2 linked regions of the Macaca fascicularis genome follow. The protein of the gene in region 2 interacts with the protein of the main gene of each other region in a biochemical or structural test. Links are inferred from orthologs where the notes say so. Each region holds a gene or a part of one and is shown on either strand. Other genes may lie near its edges.

Region 1 (3,990 bases), on a different chromosome or scaffold from region 2:
GATGTCCTGCCCCAGGACCCCATCCCGCACTGGTGGAGGGTCGCAGGAGCAGCGTGAAAGTGGAGGCTGAGGCCAGCCGGCAGTGAGGGGTGGACTGGTGTCTTCAGACCCAGGACCTCAGACTTCTGGCTCACACAGACCCCCATGCTCTCCATCCCCGGAATATAGTCACAACCCTGGATCCTTCCTCTGCCCTTCTCCTGCCTCCCCACCTGCTCCATGGGCATAAGACTGTGGGGCTTCAAGCAATAACAAGCAGGGGCCTGGAGAGAGGACACAAGGAGGGTGCGTGGTGCCCTCACCCCTGCCCAGAGCGAGGGGGCAAGGACTCTGCCTCCAAGGGCATCTGGGGTTCTCCCCTCCCTCACACGACACACTCCCATTCTCTTTAGGTTTGCACCTGTGGTGTGAGCAGTTGGACTCAGTTTGGACAAGGGGGAAAGGGGGACTTCCCTGGGAAGGTCCAGCAGCTAAAAGTGGCAACATTTGCCCCCAGAATTGGGGGCCTGGGAACACTGGACCTGCTCCTTCTTCCCTCTCCTTCCCCGTTTTTGTGCTTCTGGTTTGTTTCTTTAATTTAACAAGTGCTGCAGTTTGCCCTCCCATTCCCATCTATCCCCCAAGTCCTTTGCAATTTCCTCCCTCCTGCCCTACATGGGGGCGGTGGGTGTGGGATCCCTTCACTGGCCCCCTTGGGAGGCCTGGGTTGGACTCAGGGTCTCCTCCAGCTGGGGGCTGGACCGCAGCACCTATCTGAGCAGTTAGAGCGTCTTTCTTTTCAGATTGTGTACAGTAGATTATTTATTTTGTTATTTTGGAATAAAATTTATTTTATGGCTTAGGATCTATGACCCCTGCCTCGAGAGGGAGAAACGGTGACATGGGATGGGGGAGTGAAGGGAAGCTGGCAGTGGATAGGGCAACAGAGAAGATACAGCAGGCAGGGCCCCTTCATACACTGGAGGGCCACATGGTCAGGCCTGGACCCAGACACTCACCCTGGCTCCCAGGCAGCATTGGAGATATGGAGCCATATGTAGATGTCACAGCCACTTGGACCCACTTGGGCACAGTCAGACTCCAAATTCAGAGTATTTTTGGGTTAGCATATGTCAGAGAGGCCAGCACACTTGCTGCTGTCTTCTGTGCAATGTCTCACACTCCCAAATTTGTGTTGTCAAACAGGCAAAAGCAGACACATGTTCTATGTGGTCATGCAACTAACATGCCAGCTATACATTAACATATCTTAGGTACATACACGTTCACACAGCTATACATGAAGAAACTCGGCCCTTGTACTTTTGCATAGTCTCATACACATATCAGAAGCCTCCACCTCGCTAACAGGAATTTGGGGCTTTGGGAGATTTTTTAATCAGGGCAAAACTTGTATTGGTAACCACATGTCCAGACCCCTCCTGTGCTCCATCCAGGGTCCCTTGAGCTGCTTCCCATTCCCCCAGGGCTGAGACCTAATATCCTCTATCCCTGGCCTCTAGCGTAAATGTGTCTGTATGTTCCTGCCTAACCATCCTAGGCCCTGGGTCAGAGTGGGCGGAGAAGCCTTCCATGCCCTAACCTGTACTCCTACCCAGCCCACCTCCTGCTCAGCCCCATCACCCTCAGAGAGCTCTGTATGTGTGTGTGCGTGCGTGTGCGCGCTGCAGGTGCGGGCATGTTGGGGCGTGTCTCAGAGCCTGAACTTCCCTTCCAGTCAGTGCTGGAAGGAGGTGGGCAGGGGAATGATGAAAGGAAGGAGTGGATTGGCTCCACCCACCATGCATTCTCCTGTCTTTTCCTCCTGACCGAGAAGTAGGTGGGGATAGGAGGGCACCCTCCCCATCTGCTGCTTGGCAGGGCATGAGTAAGTGTCCAGAGCAGGTCTGTGGGGGTAGTAGAAGAGCTGTCTCTCTGGGTTCTCCCTCCCGGCTGGGATCACCAACTGGGGTTGGCCCTTAGGTCCATGTGGGACATTGAGATCCCAGATTGCCCATAGTGGGAGGGTTGCAGGAGGGGCTGGGCCCCCAAGGACCCTCCCCCCGATTCCCCTTGCCCCTCCAGGAGAAGCTTAGTGAGGTCCTGTTCAGTGGGCGGCAGCAGAGGAGGGAATATGTCTTCACCAATCCTACAAGGAGATGGGAGAAGCAGTGGAGTAGGCATGGCGCCCACTCCCCTAGATGCCACCCAGCCTCCACTACTAAGCTGCCACTCACCAAGTGCCCTGAGAAAACGCTCTCACTGGCTGGCTCAGGCAGCTGTCTTCCACCATGGTCACATCTGAGCAGAGCAGGGGGTCAGGGCTGGACACAGCATGCTCCTGAGGCTGGCATGGCAGCAGGCCCCTGCCAGGAACCAGCAACGGAAATAAGGAGGGAGGGGCAAGGCCAGGAAAGAAGAGGCACATGGGGTCAGGAGGGGCCTTGTCACTCACTGGGGGTGAGGCTGGTCAAAGGACAGGCTCATCTGGCCCAGGCTGGGGGGCATCTGCAGGTGAGGCCTAGAATTAGGGAGAGCACAGTTAGAGGAAGGCAGGCTAGGCAAAGGCAAAGTGGTGCAAAGTCAGGACCACTGAGTGAGGAAACAAGCTCCACCTCCTTATCCTGACTTAGTAGTGGCTTTGGGCAAGCTATTTCTATGCTCTGAGCTCAGTCTTCTCATCTGTAAAATGTGTGTGTTACGGGGGTGGATTAGCCAATTTCTAATGTTTCTTTGGACTCTGAACTTTGATAGTTCTTAAGTCCCCAAGTCCTCACTCCCGCCTCACCTTCTGGGAGGGGAGATGTTGTGCCTTGACTAAGAGTTAATAAGCACCTGGGTGTTATACTTGGGGAAGAAAAATGTCTAGGCCATCTCAAGGCCAAAACAGATGAGTAAACAAAAATCAACACAGCAGAGAAGTGACAGTGGCTCTCAGGGGCAGGACAGAAACAGTCATGCACCACACAACGACATTTCTGTCAGCTACAGACCACAGTGATCCCATATGATTATAATCAAGGCCAGGCAGAGTGACTCACACCTGTAATCCTAACACTTTGGGAGGCTGAGGTGGGAAGATCACTTGAGCCCAGGAGTTTGAGACCAGCTTGGGCAGTAAGTGAGACCTTGTCTGCAGAAAAACCTTAAAAAAGAATTAGCCGAGTATCCTGGTGCACAACAGCATGAGGATTGCTTGAGCCCAGGAGGTAGGGGTTGCAGGGAGCTAAGATTGCACCACTGCACTCCAGTGAGTGAGACCTTGTCTCAAAAAAAAAAAAAAATTATAATCAAGCTGAAAATTCGTATCACACAAATATTTACCATTATGTAACTATTTCCTTATACTGTTCAGAACGGTATCATGCTGCTCAGGTTTAAAGCTAGGATCAACAGGCTACACAATATAGCCTCAGTGTATAGTAGCCTATACCATCTAGGTTTGTGTAATTACACTCTATGATATTCGCATAACTATGAAACTGCCTAAGGACAGAAAATGCTCTTTCATTAAGTGATCCACGACTGGACTTACACAGCTTTTGCTATGAGCCAGGCACTATGCTCAGCTTTGTAAGTGTTATGAACTCATTTAATCTCCAAAATAATGCAGTGAGGTAGGTTATTATTATTAGCATTATTATCCCTTATTGGGCAGATAAGGCACCAAAGGCTAAGTAATTTGCCCCAAACCAGTAAGTGGTAGAGCTAGAATTCAAACCTAGGCAGTCTGGATCTTAACTACTATCCCCTCATTAGAGTGGACAGAAGAGAAGAAAGGTTGTTAGCATTTGGTGCTCCTTTCTCACAGAAGAGCCTCTTCTAACAATTCGAATGCCCACCCCCTTAGAGTGGGATGGTATCCCCATGAGGTTTTTCACTTACTCCTGGAAGGCGGACAACACATTGACTGATTCTTCTGGGGAGAGGCCTTGATACGGGGGGATGGAGTGAGAGTGTGGTGGGTACACCTGGGGCCTAGGGAAAGAAAACAGGCCCCCTGATGCCAGC
Region 2 (4,300 bases):
CTGGGACGACAGGCGCGCACCACCACGCCCGGCTCATTTTTGTATCTCTGGTAGAAACGGGGTTTTGCCATGTTGGCCAGCCTGGTCTCGAACTCCTGGCCTCAACTGACCTGCCCGCCTCAGCCTCCCAAAAGTGCCGGGATTACAGGCGTGGGCCCCCGCACCCGGCCTGAAGCTTAGTTATCTAGGGACACATTTGCTTTGGGCACCAAAAGAAAATCTGGATGAGCTTACACAAATGTGGGCCACTTACGCCCAAAAGCAAGAGCACGTGTCCGCAGTGCCAGGGCAGAGGTGGGTCCTGTTTTTATTTTAAATAAGTGGAATGAAGAAGCACATTCAAGAAAAGGGGAGGCACAGGAAAAACCAAAGACACAGGAGTTTCTGAAGGGGCTCGAGAAGGAACAGGGCTGGGAAAAGGCGGAGGAAGAGTTGGCGGTGGGGTGGCAGGTAGAGCAACTCCCTCCCTCGTGGGAGGCTCCCTCCACCTGGACGGCCACACGAAGCCTGGGAGGAAGCCCAGCGGGACAGGGCCAGGGGCTTCACAGAAGCCAGCCAGAGCTTCACTGAATGGTCATGAAATCCAAGGGAGAGAAACAAAACTCACTGGTTCTGAAAACTATGCTTAGAAACGTTCGTATCACAGAGCCCACTCATAGCACTCTCCTGTAACTTCTCCCGTGCAGAACCAGTACAGTCCGCTCCACCCTCCGTCTCACTCGTGGGGCGGCATCTGCATGAGGGTGACCCCTCTCACAACCAAGAATGTTAACAATATGCTTCTAACCTTTATGATTTTTCTGGGAATCTGAAAAGAGCCGTCACATCAGCAGACGTGTTTGTTGAGATCACAGTGCAATAAAACAGAACTGTGTTAAGAGGTGACTGTTGAAAACCAGAATTGCAAGAGTACAGCCTGAGCCACCGTCCACCTGGACCATCTGATCCGCACTCTCTGCCCTCAACGGAGCCAGACAGAAGATCTCTACTGGGGCCGAGCCCCAAGCCCGGTGGGCGCCGGAGTCAACAGGAGGAAGACCTCAGCCTGGGGTGAGAGGGACCCTGTCGTTTCCGACCCCTGTGGCAGGCGGGCCATCACCACCTCCGTTCTAACAGAATGAAGTGCCTCACCTGACAAAAACTGCTGCGTGTCAAAGAGCTTGCAGGTCTGGTCTCTCTCCAGCTTGTTGGGCCTGTCGCTGCACAGCGCCAGGGGCCCGTCCCAGTAGATCCGGCTCTGGCAGAGTCTTTTCGCGTAGAGCCCGTCGGGGGCCATCCAGAGGACCACGCCCCTCTCTAGGTGGCCCAGCAGCTTCTCAATGTTCTTCCTCTGGCCATTGTCCTCTGGGTAGGGGAACAGGACCTGGTCCAGGTTGCTGGCGTCGTAAGTATGTCCATGGGAGATCCGGCAGCCCTCGGGGCTGGACGTGGTCAGCTCCTTCACGAGGATTTCCCGGTAGTACAGGCAGATGTGCAGCCGGCAGTCTGCAAACACAGAGCTCCGGGGTCAGTGCTGGGGGCCAAGGACACCAGCTTGAGGCCAGCGACTCCACAGAGCCAAGCACCTGCGGTGGAACTCTACTGTCCCACAGGCTCTGTGGAGGAACAAAAGGTTCTGGCGTGCAGGAGGCCTGGGAGACGCCACATGCCCTGCTTCCCCCCGAGATCAACACTTAGAGAAATCCCGTGGAAAAAACCCATTTAATTCGTCTAAACCAGCATATTTCAAACGTATGTGGCCACAGACTCTTTTTGGAAGGGACGAGTGTGTCTTTCATTAATTTTCTGGAAAAGTAAGTTGAATTCAGGTTATAGATCATCACCATTAAGAACTTACTAAGTCTTATTGTGAACGATGCTGATGATAGTGGTGATGACATTTAAGTCATGTGTCACTGAATGAAAATTCATCTTTAAGCAAATCAGTTTTTGCTTTGGTAAGAAATGAACCCTAAGTTTAATTTCTACTAGCAAAAAATATGACGGTGTTTCAGAAAGAAGCAAGTCTGTCCACAAACCTGAAAGGTCCTCAAAATAATAATATGACATCATTTAGGTAAAAGCAAGTGTGTGTGTGTGTGTGTGTGTGTGTATACATATATGTAAGTTATACATATAATTAGGTGCTTATTTATGTCTACATAGTTTATATATAAACATACACACACATATACACATTAAAGGGTAAGTACTAAGGCCTTAATGGTGATTTCTGGGTGGTGGAATGTGACGTTTTTATTTTCCATTCTTGTTTTTCTGATTTTTAAATTAGTTTTCCACACTGGATATGTGATGTTTTTATCACAAAATTAATTCTTGTGAAAAGAAAGAAATTAATGAGAAAAATGCTCTAAAAGTTCATGTAAAGTCTGCTGAAATTCCCACTGGGCTTTGTGTTTAAGTTTGAAAAGAACCCTAAAACTCTCTGAAACTTTAAACAAGATGAATCCATTTACAAACGTTTGGCTGATTTCAGAAACCTCTTTGAAACATCGCCCATGAGTTGAAAGAACCAAGCTAGGTTTGCATAAGCTCCTCAGCCAGGCTGCAGGGGAGCGGCACAGACAGGGGCAGTCGCCACTGGGAACTGTATGGGACCCCACAATCAGTGGGAATCACAGTTCTCTAACAAATGTGCTCATGGCTGATAATTAATCTGTATTATGCATACCAAAAAAAAAAAAAAAAGAAACCCACAAAACTGTCTTATTCCTCAATAGCAGGTTTTGAGACTTAACCCACATCACTGTCTCAATTCTCTGCTTCAACACATGGAGAACGAGTCAGACAGTGCGCCCCAAAGAGAGTGGGTGTTGGCCATTCGAGGTGATTCTCGGGGCAGGTTTCATTTCATTTAATGTCATCAGAAATCACGAGGTTGCAGAGATATAAATAGCTGTTTATTTCCTACTCTTCAGGCACCCACACAAGTCTTAGGTGTTCAAGAAAAGGGTTTGAAAGTTTCTAAAAACAAACACAAGCCTTCCTGCTCAGAAGCACCTCCTCCCAAAGGGCATCCTCGGTACTCACGAGCATCTCAGAAAAAAAGGTGCAAGCCTCATTCAGAACTAGAAAGAGCGGGCAGGTAAAACTCCAGCCCCCGTGTGCAGCCGTAGTGCCACAACTCTCGTCTCCCTGAAACCTTCAGAATTCAGTTAGTATTTTTCATCACTGATTTTTAAAGATGCCAAAGGGCATGATGAGAATTCCAAACCTTAAAAACAATCCAAAATATTATCTAAAAAATGAATAGACATATAGCACATATGCTTGGCAAGTCTAAGGGTGCCTTTTTTACAACAGGTAAGATCTCTATGATGCAGGACTTTTTTTTTTTTTTTTTTAAATAAAACTTAAAAATCAGGTTGAATCCATATTTGTTTGCAAGCGATATGAAAGACCAAAATGTGTATTACTTTTAGGCATATGTCATCGAGGGACCAGAACTAATGTCCCCAGGGAGCAGAGGAGGAGGACTCATTTATGGCTCAACCCGGAAGGACGATCAGCCTCTCCAAATGACGAGCCCTTCCACACTTCCGCACGGAGAATGCTGGCTGGAGAGGGGCCCTTGGTAAAGGAAACTGGAGTGTTTGCACATTCCTGGAAATTCGGAGAGGTGCCAGTGACGAAGCCAGAACGACTCCATTCAAGCCAGTGGCTGAAACTGTCAGCAGAACCACAAGCAGTGATGCTGGGTCTTTCCAATGGTGCTCCTAGTTCACTCTGGTCACCTCATGCACAGGATGTGTCCACATCTACTCCAGACCCCAGGGGGAGCAAAGCAAGTGTCTAAAGTCCCATTGAATCTGCCCAAAGATGACAGAGCTGGCGGCAGCAGCCGGCCTCCTGCGGTGCCTCCAGAACCAAACCCTGCACTCACCTGAGAGCGCCAAGGCTTCGGCAGACCTTATGCTTGGCTCTGTGGGGATTCCTGGAGCCTGGGACTCAGGTGGGGCACAAGCATAAAAGGTTCCTGTCACCTGGCAACCTGCATTTGCAAATAAAAGTCAGATGATGTCTAGACAGAGAGTCCGACGCACTGCAGGGCTTCCTGGGGTGTGTGTGTGAAGCCTGGGAAGGAAGGGGCTGGCGCCCAGTCACCTTCCCGCCCACTCCCAGCACCAGCGACTAGCAGGGCACACTCTTGTGAGGCAAAGACGAGCCGGAGACCAGCTGGAAAACCAAAGCTGAGGGAGAAACGAGCCAGTGCGTGGCTTTGAAAGGAATCTTGGAGCGCTCTCTCTGTAACTGACCCACAGGGAGGCTGAGGCTCAGAGACAGATGACGTGATTTGTCC

What was found. The genes of interacting proteins can lie anywhere in the genome.
Region 1: the proteins of IRF4 (region 2) and STAT6 form a complex in vitro, tested with the Homo sapiens proteins (2 studies listed by BioGRID). The link is inferred for Macaca fascicularis from reciprocal best matches to the Homo sapiens genes IRF4 and STAT6.

Annotation. Positions count from the first base shown.
Region 1 is NC_088385.1:63,893,908-63,897,897, forward strand, and holds the end of STAT6 (signal transducer and activator of transcription 6), read right to left. Parts: intron 3,958-3,990; coding exon 3,865-3,957; intron 2,501-3,864; coding exon 2,435-2,500; intron 2,346-2,434; coding exon 2,217-2,345; intron 2,129-2,216; coding exon 1,939-2,128; 3' UTR 772-1,938; downstream 1-771. Other genes in the region: NAB2 (NGFI-A-binding protein 2), read left to right, coding at 1-86. UniProt on the Homo sapiens protein: Carries out a dual function: signal transduction and activation of transcription. Involved in IL4/interleukin-4- and IL3/interleukin-3-mediated signaling.
Region 2 is NC_088378.1:172,684,807-172,689,106, forward strand, and holds part of IRF4 (interferon regulatory factor 4), read right to left. Parts: intron 3,992-4,300; coding exon 3,884-3,991; intron 1,486-3,883; coding exon 1,132-1,485; intron 1-1,131. UniProt on the Homo sapiens protein: Transcriptional activator. Binds to the interferon-stimulated response element (ISRE) of the MHC class I promoter. Binds the immunoglobulin lambda light chain enhancer, together with PU.1.